2 linked regions of the Caenorhabditis elegans genome follow. The protein of the gene in region 1 purifies or fractionates together with the protein of each later gene. This does not show direct contact. Each region holds a gene or a part of one and is shown in the gene's direction. Other genes may lie near its edges.

Region 1 (7,943 bases):
GAAAAAATTGAGTTACTGGCAGCCAATTGCAAAATTTACCTCAAACCGAGGTAATTAAACCGACTCGAGTGGTGCGCTGACTGCTTTTGCGTGCAAAGCATACTGGCCCACGCTAGCCCAAATTTTGTCGGCAGCACATTTCGCATATATCCGCACTCTCACATCTTATTTTTTAAGTAATAAGGGTACTAATATGCTCTTACGTAGTGAATGGAGATTTCCTTTTGTACATAATTATGCACTGCTCCCCACTACTAAATTTTGGATGGCTCATCAAGAGATGGGCCAAAAATAATTTCAAACTCACTGAAAGTGTCTTTTCTCTATTGAGGAACACAGTATGTTGTTATTAATAAATTTGCTCACATTCTCCGAAATAAATGTGAATTTGTTTGCTTCTGTTCTTCGAAATAAAGATCAATATATAATGAGTGCTTATCACCTCCGTTGTTGTCTAGTGGTTAGGATTTATGGCTCTCACCCATAAGGCCGGGGTTCGATTCCCCGCAACAAATTTTGTATGGCTAATCGAGGGCCAAAAATAACTTCCGATTAACTGAAAGTGTCTCTTTAGGATTTGTAAAATTTTAATGTGAGTTTTTCGAAATTCAAAAGAGAACAATTTTCTAAATCAGTTGAAGGAGGACTAACGGTTCGGACAATTTTGAACGTATAGACTCAAAATGAGCTCAAATAAACGAATTTCGTAATGAAGCTTCTCAAAAAAAATTCCAAAATTTTGAACCGCCATAAAAAAGTTTTGAAAATTTTTTGAGCAGTTTCATTACAAAACTCGTTCATTTGAGCTTATTTTGGGTCCATACGTTCAAAATCATCCGAACCGTTAGTCCTCCTTTAAGGACATATCTCTATTTTAAAATTATTTATCATGTTTCTCATTAAAATCAATATGTTTTTGGGAAAAGTTCAATTTTTAAAGTCACCGAAAAATGAAAACGAACATAATTTTGGAGCCACATATGATATATGGGTCTTCGAAAAACTTTCTGTTTTAGAGTTCCTATTTTTGAACAAGAACCCATTTTGAGGTACACAGTATGCTGTAAATGTTAATTTTGCTTACATTCTCCGAAATAGATGTGAATTTGTTTTCTTCTGTTTTTTGAAATAAAAATCAATATATAATTACCGCTATATGACCGCCATAAATAGTTTTGTAAAATCATTAATAAAAATTTCATTACCAAATTTGTTCCTTTCAACAAGTATTGATTTTATACGTTCAGAATACCCCGAGATTTCCCGTTAGTCATTGTTTCATTTATTCCAGAGTTGACCTGATTGAACGCACGCAACGCACTTTTTCTCTCTCGCCACACTTTGGAAGTGAGAGACGCAGCAAGAGATGTCTTCTCTGCCGTGCAGTGTTGTCGTGAAAAGGACGACAGAAAAAAGAGTGTGTGGAGGTGAGAGGGTGGGAGGGGTGTGAGACGGTTGTCCGTAAACACTCGCGCAAAAACGCGGGAAAATTTTTCTGGAGGAGGCCGTGCTGCACAGGTAAAAACCTTTTTAATTCGATCAAAACAATTTTATAAATTTGTTCGATTGGATTTTTCACGGAGATTTTTCCGCGGTGCTTTTATTTTTTTTTTGATTTGCTGTTATTGTTTGAACTGACTTCTAAATTTTGATCTCTTTTACTTTTCGATTCTATTTCCCTTAAATGACAATTATAACTTTGGAACATTTTCAGCAGTATGTCGGATGAAGAAGATATAGATGAAAGCTTTGAAATCGAAGAGGACGGAATTTCAATCACAGATGCCAGAGGGTAAGTTGTTGTTGTTTTTTTTTTTTTTTTTTTTATTTCCTTGGTGGCTTGTCCCAATGTCCAGTAGGAAAAAAGGACATGTATCATTATAAAACTGTTTAAAAATTTTCACATTTCCAAAGCTTTCCAAGCCCTAATTAATCCAACAAATTCTTGTTTAGAAACAGTCTGAAAGCGCAACAAATTGCTGGTAAAGAACGAAATTTGGATCCAGAAGCCGATGATTTGGAGGTAGTCGTCAATTTCTACGAAGCAGGCGACGGAACATTCCAACTACAACTGCCCAAACTAACAGCTGTGAAACCAGTGGATAAAGTCAATGATGTACTGGACTTTATCAATTTTGACAAGAAAGTATGCGATGGAATCCATTCATCAATCAAATTAGTTTCACGTAAGTTTAACTGCATGGTAACTAGAATTAATTCGTATTGTTGGTTGCGGGACAGTAGTAGATTTTTGCCAAAACCAAAAATTAATTTAACCGGGTTGAAACATTTTTGAAAAATATTTTTACAAAGTTTCCAGATGTTGAGAATTGAAAAATTTACCTACGATTTTTTTTTCACAAAACCTACGATTTAAAATAATTTTTTTTAAAGCTATTTGGAGTTAGGGTGTCTCATTTCAGTGTGATCTACTTAAATCTACACACAATGCGGGAGTTGAAACGCAGAGTTCTCAACCAATTTTGCATAGTTAAGAACGTGTTGACGTCACACTTTTTGGACAAAAAATTCCCGTATTTTTTTTAGATCAAACCGTGATGGGGCAGCTTGACACTACGTGTATACATAAAATCCATTATTGGGCCTTACTTTACTATATAATTTTCAGAACGAGATCAGACGGGACCAGCACCGTTTCCGAAGCATAAGCTGACGTGCGCCCATTGCGACTGGTCGTTCGACAATGTGATGAAGCTTGTCCGTCACCGAGGTGTTCACAAGAATGTGGGAGTCTACATGTGTCAAGTGTGCCTCACACTGTTTGGACACACCTATAATCTGTTTATGCATTGGCGGACATCGTGTAGCCAGACATCGACAACTGCCACGGATATCGAGATACAAGTAAGCACAAGTTGGTATTTTGAAACTAATGAATCCCCAAGCTCCAGAAAGCAGAAACGCCGTACCTTCATCGCAATGTGCTCAATGTTTTGGGCTCACTGAACCGAGCGTCGCAATACTACTGCACTGGTGGTTATGTATTTCTGCCGTCGGATTGGTGCATCACAAATAAGGAAATTGTTATGGAAAAGGATCATATGTCGTCGTGTCATTTATGTCACCTGCCTGTACCAAATAAATTTCTCGAAGCTCACGGAAATGTGCATCGGGGGCGATTTCGAATCGATGGACGTATCTACGGCGACTACTTTTGTCATATTTGTGGAACAGTTTTCATGTAGGTTTTTCGACATTTTTTTTCAAAAAATTGAAAGAACACTGAAATTTCAGAGAACAAGATAATCTATTCAAGCATTGGCGTTTGCATTGTGAAGAGGTTATTGCCTACACACCAGTCGACCAATATCTATCAAATACGGAGCTCGCCACACTCGCTTGGCTCGTCCTTCAAACGACAATCTCACAAGCCGATATTGAATGCTTGAGGGTCAGCTCGTCGCTGATCACTGAAAAATTGGCAAAAGAGCACGCGGAGAGACACGGAATCGCCAATAGTATGCACAAGTATTATCACTTTCCACAGGAGATTTGGCCCCTCAAAACGTTTGTCAATTTGGATTTGGTTAATGATGCGATTCCGATTTCAGGAGAAAATTCATTTGTGAGCACTTTTTTTCCATTTTACTTTGAGATTTGTATTATTTTCTAGCAAAACATTATTGGCGGGTCGTTTTAGAACCTATTTTGGAGGCAGGTAGGCACGTTTTCAGGGCCTACCGAAAATAGCAGATTCTGAGCTACGTTGTACATACCTACTTGCCTACTTTCCTTTCTGCCTACCAAAATTTTTATATTTTTTTTCACTGAAATTCAATCTTTTTTTTCAGAAGATAAAAGATCCCAAACGCCCAGTGCACATAATGAACTTGCTCGCTACGGCGTGTCCGGGCTTTTACGCAACAGGAAAGACGTTCAACATGATTTGCAGTACGAAAAAATCGGAATCAGACACGAAAAAGGTGTATCGCGTCATATTGAGATATACGACAGAGGGATCCGTTATTCAATCGGTAATTTGATTTGTGCTTTTTTTCGAAAAATTTTTTTCAGATTTTTCAGCACTTTTAGCTAGACGTTTGGGTATTAGCCAGTTTTAAGAAACTTAGCAATGATCAAACTTTTAATTCAAAATTTTGAATAATGAGAAATTTATTGGAAAGCTTTATGATAATCCAAATTCACTTTTTTTTTCTTCCAGTACGATTTCACGGCTCGCTCATTCCCCAAACTCCGCGTGGACTCGGAAACGCCAGAAGGTGTTTTTAGCCATCCGCTGGCCGATTTCAATGTGGAATCGAACGAGGCGATCGTGTGTCACAAGTGTGATAGTAAAAAGTTGACAATCACGTTCTCGACGGAAGTACGGTTGAAGTATCATCTGCTTCGACATTCGGAGTCACGAAAAGACGGTTATCATTGTGCGATTTGCAAGATTATGTGAGTTTGTATTGAATAAAACAATGTTGATTAGTTTGAGAGTGAGAATTGGATTTTAAAAATCTTCACAATTTTTCTTTATTTTTTGACCACTTCCGAATTGGCTAAGTAATTCCAACAGACGGTAAACGTTTGCATAAATGAAAGTTAATTTCAGAGTATACAATCGTAGTCATGAGGAGCACTGGATCAATGATTGTATTCCGCTCCAGAAATTGTATAGAGATCAAAAGGACCGAGAGTGCTTCGACGCAGAATTTGCTGCAAAATGTGCGAGCATCATAAAAAAGCTCAGAATACGAACATTGATTCGATGGAAGGAACGAGCGAACGAGGACTGGGTGGAGACGAAGCAGACGCCTGATCGTATCGGAGAAGATTTTGCTATAAAATTCCAAGTTGGTACCACTGCTCTGAAGACGCTGATGGCCGGGCTCGAGGAGCATTATAAAAATGCTCAGGCTAGACATGAGGCGTATAAGTACAGCGAGGAAAACTTTTTGCCGCCACTTTCGACGCCGGTCGTTGTATGCTTTCATTGTGGTAAGTGGCTCACCGTAATAGGAATGAAGAAAAATACAAAAAAAAGTTATTCGATCTTTTTTGTGAAAATCTGAAAGTTTAATTCTCTTCCTCTCTCTCTTTTTTAGTTTCTCCTCAAAACACCTTTTTCAGGCACCCGCTGTCATTATACGCTACTTCACGACCACCTTGATTATTGCCACTATTGGCCGCGTAACAAACGATTAGTCAATGAAGAATTTCATAAATGGAAGAAGAACGGCTGTCGAAATACGTGGCGAGTTATGGTAAGGGAGATTATTTGTGTTCTAGATATTATTAATTTTAATGAATTTAATGAAAATGATTGAAAACAATTTTTTAAAGTGGTGGGAGAAAGGTGTATGCATTTTTTTGGTTTTGCCACAGCTTTTAATTTTTCAATTATGTGCATATGTTTGAAGGCGGTTAATATTCAAAACAGGGGTGGGCGGCAATTGCCGTTCTGCAAATTGATTTGCCGACAAATTCTGCAAATCGGCAAATTACCGGTTTTCCGATTTGCCGGAAATTTTTAATTCCGGCGATTTTCCAGTTTGCCGATTTGCAGGAAATTCTTATTTTTGCCAAATTGCCGGTTTGCCGTTTGCCGGATATCAGATTTGCCGGAAATGTTTAGAGGGATTTTTCATAAGACGGAAACACTTAAAACTGTCTTTTCGAAAATTTTTCCGTTTTTTCTATACATTTTCATAGAATTTGCTTACTTTTCAAAATAAATGTAAGAAGATCATAGGATGCGTTTAATTTTGCCATTTGAAATTGAAATTCTGAAATTTCCGAAAGAATAAGTGCGAAACCACAGTTTGCCAAAATTTTTTCGCAAATTCGACAAATCGGCAATTTGCCGATTTGCCGACGTGCCGGAAGTTTCAATTCCGGCAATTTTCCGGCGTGCCGATTTGCCGGAAAAAATTGTTTGCCGCACACCCCTGATTCAAAAGCTTAGCTCTTTTTTTGGTTAACAAACTTAAATATATATTTTTTCAGAAAAGTGTAGCTGAAGCAATGCAAATTGAAGTGCCGTTCATATCTGAGGAGCAATACTCAAAGGTACAGTTTTTGGGGAATAATTTATCAGTATAATGAACAGAAAATAAAAAAAATAGCAAAAAATTCTGAGGTTCATATTTTTCAATGATCATTTCCAGATACTCGACTACCACACCTACTTTTGCAACGACACACGCTACAAGGTTCAGGACTCAATCAACAATTGGAACGATTGCTCAACAATTCGAGACGTTGATTTGTCCGAAAAACTTTCAGTTGCTGAAATTGTGCAAAAGGGCGAGGACTCAGTGATGGCTCCAGAACCTGATATAATCAAAAATGTTTACTTTCCGTCTGCTCGTATTATTACAGATAATATGCTGTTGCGAATGACAGAGGTATAGAATTTTTTGATCATTTTTTAAAATAGTTTTTTTTAGATAGACGATACGATTTTAAATATTTTTCTAGTAACAATTGGTAAATTCTGAGATTATAGCGGAATTAAACCTTTTTTTTTAAATTTCCTAAGAAACTTTTTAAGAAGGCACACTATGAAATTTACCTATTTGGTGCCTATCTGAGTAAAATGAAACCAAAAAAATATATACATATACACATTTCAGATAAACTTGAATGATGTCGTGCAGCGAGACCCAATCACCAAAGAGGAACTAACGGGAAAATTCAAGGAAGTTCAAGACGAGCAAGACGCGATTCTGTTTGGTGACTACCGTGCTGTTTTGCGATCGAAGGGTATTATGGTCAATTCGATTTCGGATTTTGTTGCTCCTCCAGATGAGCTTGCGAAAGCAAAAGCATCCCAGGAGTCTGCTGGTCAAGAAAGTGTGGATCATAGGAATCGAAGGGAACGAGAATTTATTCAACAGTATATGGGTAAAGATCTGGCACTCGAGGCGGCCGCCCGCGAAAATGGGAGACTCGTCGAGGTTGACGAAGAGGCGGAAGATTATGAACTGACTCCGAAGGAGCTCAACGCTCGAAGACTCGTCGAACGGAATCGTCACCGAGAGATGTGCAAAACGAGGTGTGAGCATGGCGAGTATGACTATGAAAAGTTCAAGGCGAGGCAAGTGCCCATTAATCCGGCAAAAATGAAGGAGCGGAAATATCTGACTCGTGTGGTACACGAGAGCGGCCCGGATGATGATGTGTGCCCAGATGAGCCGGAGAATAACATCATCGCGTTCTCACCAAAATATGAAAATTCGCTCAGCGACTTTCGCATAAGTGCAATTGGTTTCCGCGAAAAGTATTTGGCGGACGATAAAAAGAAGAGAAATGGAATTCCGATTCGAAAAATGACTGAGGCTCAGAAAGGTGTTGCGCTAGACTACGATACGTTGATGGCGCGACACGGAGGTCGTCCCGACGTGATAATGAACCCGGCCGGAACTGTTTTTGTGGGAGGATTTGTGTTCGATCGGAAACCGACGTGCCAGGATAACATGCAGACTGTTTATGTTCTTCGTAATGGCTATGTGAGTTTGAAAAGTTTAAGTAATGTTGATTTTGTTCCCCGGTTTTTTGAGACAAAATTTGACTGTCACGAGGGACAGGCAGAGAAGTATAATAGAGAAGTGAAGAAAAGCGGAATATTGAGCCTCGATATAAGACAGTCCCTCCTAACCACGTGGTGTCAGACTGCTCCGTTGCGGTTTGACCTACAAAAAATGCGGGAACGTTTTGCCCAAAAAATGTGACGTCAGCACGTTCTGAACCATGCGAGATCAGTTGAGCCCAACTGTGCTTCTCTACTCCCGCATTTTTTGTAGATCTGCGTAGATCAATCCGAAGTGAGACGCTCTGACACCTCGTGCCTAACTATGTAGTTCTGAATTTTGTGAACATTTAGATTTTTCACACAATTTTTTTTCAGGCACACCGGTACCGAATTTATCACTGCGAAGACACGAATGGCATTTACAAATTTGTTTGGCCGCAGG
Region 2 (7,990 bases), on another chromosome or scaffold:
AGAAAGTAACTATAAAAACGGGGAAAAAAAATCAAATAGGCACAGTTTTTAGTGTTTCCGTCTTATGAAAAATACCTCTAATCATTTCCGGCAAATCTGATATCCGGCAAACGGAAAACCGGAAAATTGCCGAAAATGAAAATATCCGGAAAATCGGAAAACCGCCATTTTGTCGGAATTGAAAATTTCGTTTTACATCCAAATCCGTTTTACATCAAATTATACCCCTGTTTCTTCTTCTACAGTTCCCCTCCATTTTTTCGATTGCAGACTTTCTAGAAGTTTACATGGTTTGTGACTCTGTAATATGCTCATCTGAACCGTATGTTGGCAGATGTTCTTGCTCACAAGACCATCCGTTGTTTGATCTCTCATTTCCCACCATTAGAAGACCCGTTGTTGGCTGCAACATCAAAAACGAAATCCTCAATTACACGCAACTAACTGCTCAAATTATAAGCTTATCTATCATCTCAACAGAGGAGATCAGCTCATATTCTTCTCTCACACACCTCTTCTACCCATCACAAGATGGAGTCGTGCCAGCCCGTACCAGTGTGCTTGTTACCTAGGCGACCTGAGAAGTACAAAATAATCATCCGTCTCTTGTTTCTCACACCTTGTTAAAACTAGTCAGTTTTATACTTTTGTCTTCTGACTTCAATTCTCTTCTATTCTCTTCTTCATTAAGGATGCCCGGATCAACTGGTGCAATGGATTTGACGGAGCAAGACACGGGTAATCGCAGACAGTAATGCCTATCAGGACTTTAACTACTTGTTCTATTATAGACGAAGTTCAATAGAGATCGTACAGACACATAAATTGACAAAATTTTTGGCTCATTTCCTTCATGCTTCCATCTGGATTCACATACATATCTAATATAAAATTTCAAGTTTCACTCATCGTGTTAAACTACTTCTTATCAATAAAATCTAGTGATTTTTTTTCAATATTATACATATAAAAACCTCTCGGTTTTTTGGGGACCTCTTCAGCTGAAAACTCGTATACTTTTCCCAAAGCGTGATCGTTGATCGACTATCTGTAGCATATCGATTTGTACATCTAGTAATGGGAAACGTTTGCCAAATTTTCAAATAATTAGAATCTTTATCTCTCCAGCTCCTTAGTCTGGTACACCCAACCTTCTTCGCAACAATATTCCGCTCATCACCCACCCACCCATTGCTATGGATTCTCTCCGTCTCTTATTCCACTATTCTTTCTCTCACCCGAATCGTCTTGACCGCAGTCGGAGTCTGTCATTTCTCTCAGTCTCCACGTTCTCCATGCTCTTTTCCACTTTCACCTTCGTTCTCTTTCGTCGTCTGCCTCTAACCCCACACTCGGTCAGCAGTAGTAACAGCTCGCACACACAGACACAGACATACGCTTGCGCGCGCGCAATGAAATGGGTGTGTGCTCGTGTGTGACCGTTTCTTAACTTTTTTTTTGAATTTGACAAATAAATTAATTAGCGCAGCTTTCATAATCTTAAATCTTAAAAAAATTAACAAACTTATATATAGTTTCCAATGTTATCTGTGCCCTGATTTTCCTAAAGTCCGGAAAAAAAATTCGTTTGAATTATCGATTTGAATTTTTCCCCAACATTAAAAATTTAGTTTTCAATATTTGAGGTGAAATCATACTGATAACTATATAATATACTATAACATTAATAAATTTCTAGATGACTTTTTTCAATGTTATCAATTTGTAAACTGTGTGATTCAATTTTAAATATGAAATATATATTTCAAAATTTTTTGATTAGGTAATGTTGGCAATTGGCATTCAAAGAAATTTTGTCAGTTGATAATTACCAAAAAAATTTGATTGGAAGGGGTCGAAAGTTTGCCAGTTGTCAAAACATTTCCAAAGCTTTGCCTTTTTGGCAAAATTATGCACCTCTTACTCTCCCTCTCCCTTTTAATATTTATCAAAATTAATTCCTTTTTTCAGGTATGCAGCCGTTTAAAAGACGGGCGCTAACCTCGGACGATGATAGACCATATGCTGACACCGACTCGATGCCTGAAGTCGATCTCGACGTGGATCGCCGACGACAGTACATGGAACAGCTCAACATATTCGATGATGTTAGTTCAGGCGCGTATATGTTGGAACTTGAAGCGGCTGAAAACGGTGTGAAATATGATGAAAAAGAGGATCTTTTGAATGTTCAAATTCCCCCAAAATATGAAGATCAGATCTCGGATCCGGATGGAAATCGAATGATAATTCTGAATATCTACGTTGAGAACTTTAAAAGTTATGCTGGAAAACATATTCTCGGACCGTTTCACAAGAACTTGACAATGATCCTGGGACCAAATGGAAGTGGAAAGTCAAACGTTATTGATGCATTGCTATTCGTGTTTGGATTTAAAGTGAGTTTTTTAAATTGAAATTTTTATTCCACAATATACATTGTTTCAGGCTGGAAAAATTCGTACCAAGAAGCTATCAGCATTGATCAATTCAGGAGGGAACTACGAATCATGTTCAGTAACAATTATGTTCCAGATGGTGAAGGATATGGTAAGTAGGTTATTAAAGCGGGCCTGAGATCCACACGATTGAAAACAAACTAATAACTATCAATATCAAAATTAATTTTCAGCCTGTCGAAAATTACGATAAATATGAAGTGTTAACAGATAATTGCGTCTGCATCACCCGCACAATAAATCGTGAAAACAATTCAAAATATCGTATTGATGACAAAGATGCATCGCAAAAAGACGTCCAGGAGCTTCTCCTACGTGCTGGAATTGATATGACCCATAATCGATTCCTGATTCTGCAAGGAGAAGTTGAAGCGATTGCACTAATGAAGCCAACATCCAAAAATCCGAATGAAGAAGGAATGCTTGAATATATTGAGGATATTGTTGGAACCAATCGTTTTGTCGCACCAATTTCCAAACTAATGCATCGGGTTTCTCTATTGGAGCACAAAAGTTCACAATATGGAGCCTCGTAAGTTCATTTTAATATTATTAAATACCACAAATTTTGGCACGGATGTACCACATAAAAATATAAAGCATGGAAATTCAAATTGAACTAGGAAAAAACAAAAAAACTTTGCGGTTTCAACTTGAAATATATTAATTTTCTGAAACTTAAAAAAATTTCAAATTAAAATTCTTTCCATTTCCAGTGTTCGCCGCCACGAGGGACACCTAAAAGTCTTTGAAAAGGCAATGGTTATCGGGATGGCCTACCTGAATACCTTCAATAATCTCAACTACCTTCGTGGAATCCGTGTCAAGCACAATTTGTGCCGTTATGCTGAAACAATGAGGGACGCCAAAATGAGTCTTGTCACTCGAACAGGAGAACTCGAAGAGAACAAGGATATCATGCTTGAGGCAAAGGATGAAGTTCGGAAGAAGGAGACTCACGAGAGAAGCCTTAATAGTATTGTCACTGAGCTGGAGAATAAAAGAATCGATTGGCAATCGAAGAAGAATGACTGGCATGCACGTGATGCTAAGAGAAAGCAGGGGCTCAAGTCGTGTACTCAGGACCTTGGGAAGCTCATGAAGGAGCGGGATGAAGCTCGTCGGGAGAAGTTTGAAATTGAGACGGCTCCAGAGAATGCGAGAATCTCTAAGCAAAACATGCAACTCGAATGGGATCAGCTCAAGGAGCAGGAGAATGTGTGTCAGCGGACAGCTACAGAGAATCTCATCAAGTATGATCAGAAGTCTAGTGCCGACAGAGCGAAGCATGATGATCTGGAGAAAAAACTCTCAGATGAGCTTCTGCAATCGATGCGAGCAAAAGCAGAATTGGACGTTTCTGAATCAGAACTTAAGGATATGACGATAATGATGGAGCAGGGACAGAAGAGAGTTGATGAGCTTAAAGGGACATTGCAAACAATGATGGCTGAGAACATTAGAGATAATACGTAAGTTTTATTTTATTTTATTTTATTTTAACCAGCTTTTAAAAATTCCCCATATCCTTCCAGTGAGCTAAACGCCGTCACAACTGAGCTGCAAGATAGAAAGCTGAAGTTTGACAAAGCTGTCGAGAAGCTTCCGCATTTGAAGTCTACCGAACAACTTTTGAGAAGCAAGAAGTATGAGCTGGATCAAGAAGTGATTGAAGCATCGAACACCCAGGAAGTTACGTACCGTCATCAGGCAACCGCAAAGCTTCATGAACTGAAAGAGGCTGGATTATTTCCGGGCTTCAAAGGTCGCTTGGTAAGTTATTCGATTGGGAGTGAGTACCTGCTTTGAAATTTGATTAGCTGTGAGCATCCTGGGGTAATCTGATGTTCCATGTAAGTATGATTTTTCTGGGAGAAATACATTTTAAATAGGATCTTTCAAATTCAGAAGCCACACGTTTAGTCTGATTTCGAATTGATTTTTTTTCGAGGACCAATTTAAAATTAATTGTCTTACAGGGAGATTTGGCAAGTATCCCAATCAAGTTCGACACCGCAATTTCAACAGTGTTCTTTGCACAATTGGATTACCACGTTGTGCAAACTAGCGATGAATGTAGAATCGGAATTGGCTTCTGCCACGAGTACAAACTTCCTCGTACGACGTTTGTCTTCTTGGATCACTTGAAAGATACTGATACTAGCGGAATGGATTCTACAATGAAATTGTTGGTAGTTGCCTTTAGTTGCCAAATCTAATTAATTCTTATTTTCAGCCCAGCCGAACGACTTTTCGATAAGATTCACTGTGTAAACCCTGAGATTCGCCGCGAATTCTATTTCTTGATCCATGACATTCTGGTTGTTGACAGTCTTGAAGAAGCAACTCGAATTGATAAGAAGTATCCTGGAAGGCATCGTTATTGCACACTGAATGGCTCAATTTTGAACCGAAGTGGAGCATTGACTGGTGGTGGAAAACCGACGACTGGTCGTATTCGAAATGATAATAATCCAAACATGAGTGGAGTCAAAAAAGTTGATTTGAGCAAGCTAAGAGCCGCACAGGAGAAGCACAATCACGCACTGGAAGCTCATTTGAAGTTGCAGTTAAAGCAAGAAGAGATCCGAGCCGACAATGGTCCGATTATCAAACAGCTCGAGATTCGTAAGCGTGAATTGATTATGTCCACCAAGGAGCAGAAAACACGGATTGCCGAGTTAAAGGTGATTTATTTTTGCGTCTCTTACTGAAACACAGAAATTTTCGCTGTTCCGATTTTCTTGAAAATGGATATATCGAAAAAAAAACTAGATTTTATTCAAAATTTCCATTCTAATTTTTTAATTATTTCCAGAGCTCAATCGCAGCACATGAGCGCCGTATGGTTAACTATAGAGAAGTGACCGTTGAGGATTTGGACGAGAAGAGAGCTCAAATTGCAGATCTGAAACGTCAAGTGGAGGAGAGCCAAAAGTCTTCAGCAAAAATCAAGCAGCAAATTGAGCAATACAAACGGAAAATGGACCGAATGTTTATGGAGTTGGTCCAAAAAAATAAGGACTCAATTGAGCAGGCGAAGGATCGAATGGGACAGCTGGAGCAGGACATTGCACGACAAACTGCAATTATTGAGAACAATCCATCACATTTGGAGCAGGCCGAGAAGAAGCTTAGTGAGCTGGAGCATATGTGTCTGGAGAAACGTAGCGAGGCAGATGCATTGGCTCAATTGGAAGTTGGAGAGGATGTAAAGGGAATTGATATTATCAATGCGCAATTGCAAACTTCAACGGTATGTTTAATTTCTATAGGACTAGGATTCTGGTTAGGCTTATGTTTAGGCTTCGACTTCAGTTCAAGCTTAGGTCCAGGCTTAGGTTCTGGCTTGAGCTCCAACTTAGGCTTTTTTTAGGCTTAGGCTTTAGCTTGGTGTTTCCAACCTTGCTCCCTTAGTTCTAGTAAACATTTTCGATTTTTTTTCAAAATTTTAAACCACTATTCAAACAATTTTTGCGCTTTTTTAAGCAGTCTCCTTATGAAGTTCGCCATTTTCGAGCTATTCAGAATTTACCAATTCAAGCTTTACTATTTTCTAATTTTTAATCTTCCAGGCCAGCATTGATGCACAAAGAGCCAGGTACACTGAAGCGGTTGCGGCACGCCGAGAAGCAGATGCAGCCTATCAAACCACAGTTGACAACTACAACATGGTCAAACAGACTTATGATGAACTGATGAGAATCATTGATGACTTGGAAAACAAGACAATGGCGGATAATGCAGAACTTGATATTATTGAATCTGCATGGATGCAACCGGAAAAGCTCTATCCACCTGGCAAATTTGTCAGATATAATGATCCAGATATTGCGGCCAAAATGACTGATGGGTACGTTTCAGAAGCTTTGGGAGATTTTCCATGTGCAAATTCAAATTTATAATCACTGAGTTTTTAGGCACGTTGTACTCCCATATGAATGCATCAGTATGATCGAACCTCACCGTGAAGCTTACGAAGAGCACGAAGCGAGAATGCTTGAGGACGATGTTTTCGAGGACACTGCTAACAAGATTTGCAAGCTGGAAAAAGATGTTGACAAGTTCCGGCGGGAATTTGATAATAAAGGTGTTCGGGATTATGCGATGATTGTGTCGCTTCTCATGAACGAGGTGACGTCAGCGAAGAAGTTTAGCGATAAGCTGAAGGCTCATCGTGAGAAGCTCAACGAGTTGAGAATGGCGAGATTCAACGAGTTCAGCGAGGCGCTCGCATTCTTGGGTACTACTACCCAAATGCTTTACCAGGTGAGTAAGGGGTACTTGCCTGCTACCAGGCTGACAGGAAGCATTTTTTCTGTCAGACCCATTGCTTTAAATGAGATTAAAAGAAACAAGTTATTTGCTTACAGCTTATCACCAATGGCGGAGATGCTAGTTTGAAGTTTGTGGAAGAAGGAAAATCTACCGATCCCTTCGATGGTGGAATAAAGTTCAGTGTACGTCCCGCCAAGAAATCCTGGAAGCTCATCGAGAATCTATCTGGCGGAGAGAAGACTCTGGCCTCTTTATGCTTTGTCTTTGCAATGCACCACTACCGTCCAACACCCCTCTACGTGATGGATGAAATCGATGCGGCACTGGACTTGAACAATGTCAGCCTGATTGCAAACTATATCAAGCATTCCGAGCGAACACGGAACGCTCAATTTATCATAATTTCGCTTCGAAATCAAATGTTCGAGGTCGGAAATCGCTTGCTTGGTATCTATAAAATCGATGGAAAAACTTATAACATTATGGTGGATCCGATCGCGGTGGAGATCAAGAATCGTCCGATTTTGAAGATTTTCGAGGAGGAGATCAAACGGCGCGAGAAGCTACGACGTGCCGAGATTGAACCGGAAATTGATTTGAGTAATGGGCTCAGCAATGTCGTTATTGCACCAAAACGTAAGTAATAATTAGTGACATATCAACTGCACTTTAATTGTAAAATACCAAATCAAAGTAGCAACCAGTCCAACTTAAACCCATCTCAACAAATACCAATTTTCAGGTAAACAACGCCGGCTGGAAATGCTGAAACTCTCGGACTTTGGTCTCGATGATGACAGTGATCTTCCTGAATTTAATAGATTCCCACCCGCAACTCGTCGTGAATTAAGTGTTGAGGATTCAGATGAAGACGATGAGCCAGTAAGAAGACGTCCGCGTCGTCAAGTTGAAGAGGAAGATGAAGAGGATGAATTGATCGAAGAAGCAACTCCATCTCCACCACCAATTGTCGTTCAACGCCGTGTGCGAAGAAGCAGACATTAAATTGAAGTAATATATTTTAAACTAAATTTTGAAAAAAAAAAGAAAACTTTGTGAAAAATCCAAAAAATGAGACCAACTTTCTTTCAAGCTTGTATTTTTTAATATTCGTCTAGCTTAATTTTTCCTTGTGATTTTAATTATTTCCCTTTTTAATATATTTCCATTTTGTTGTATATTTTGTGAAACCCCTATATCTTTGCATCACGTACTGTCCAATCTATCTCATTTTCTTAATTCGCTGACAAGGT

The links.
Region 2: the proteins of sdc-1 (region 1) and dpy-27 fractionate together in Caenorhabditis elegans (co-fractionation; one large-scale study listed by BioGRID). This does not show direct contact.

Annotation. Positions count from the first base shown.
Region 1 is NC_003284.9:16,274,055-16,281,997, forward strand, and holds the start of sdc-1 (C2H2-type domain-containing protein), read left to right. Parts: upstream 1-1,708; 5' UTR 1,709-1,718; coding exon 1,719-1,792; intron 1,793-1,953; coding exon 1,954-2,186; intron 2,187-2,629; coding exon 2,630-2,865; intron 2,866-2,906; coding exon 2,907-3,202; intron 3,203-3,255; coding exon 3,256-3,586; intron 3,587-3,812; coding exon 3,813-3,995; intron 3,996-4,183; coding exon 4,184-4,422; intron 4,423-4,579; coding exon 4,580-4,965; intron 4,966-5,097; coding exon 5,098-5,231; intron 5,232-5,973; coding exon 5,974-6,036; intron 6,037-6,134; coding exon 6,135-6,374; intron 6,375-6,602; coding exon 6,603-7,478; intron 7,479-7,876; coding exon 7,877-7,943. UniProt on the Caenorhabditis elegans protein: Embryonic transcription factor regulating downstream genes involved specifically in the sex determination and dosage compensation pathways, or regulating other genes involved in the coordinate control of both processes.
Region 2 is NC_003281.10:3,813,661-3,821,650, reverse strand, and holds the start of dpy-27 (Chromosome condensation protein dpy-27), read left to right. Parts: upstream 1-1,971; 5' UTR 1,972-1,973; coding exon 1,974-2,399; intron 2,400-2,448; coding exon 2,449-2,550; intron 2,551-2,632; coding exon 2,633-2,991; intron 2,992-3,175; coding exon 3,176-3,931; intron 3,932-3,994; coding exon 3,995-4,232; intron 4,233-4,438; coding exon 4,439-4,647; intron 4,648-4,695; coding exon 4,696-5,146; intron 5,147-5,277; coding exon 5,278-5,715; intron 5,716-6,034; coding exon 6,035-6,312; intron 6,313-6,379; coding exon 6,380-6,728; intron 6,729-6,832; coding exon 6,833-7,373; intron 7,374-7,479; coding exon 7,480-7,742; 3' UTR 7,743-7,990. UniProt on the Caenorhabditis elegans protein: Central component of the condensin I-like dosage compensation complex that associates specifically with hermaphrodite X chromosomes to reduce their gene transcription throughout development.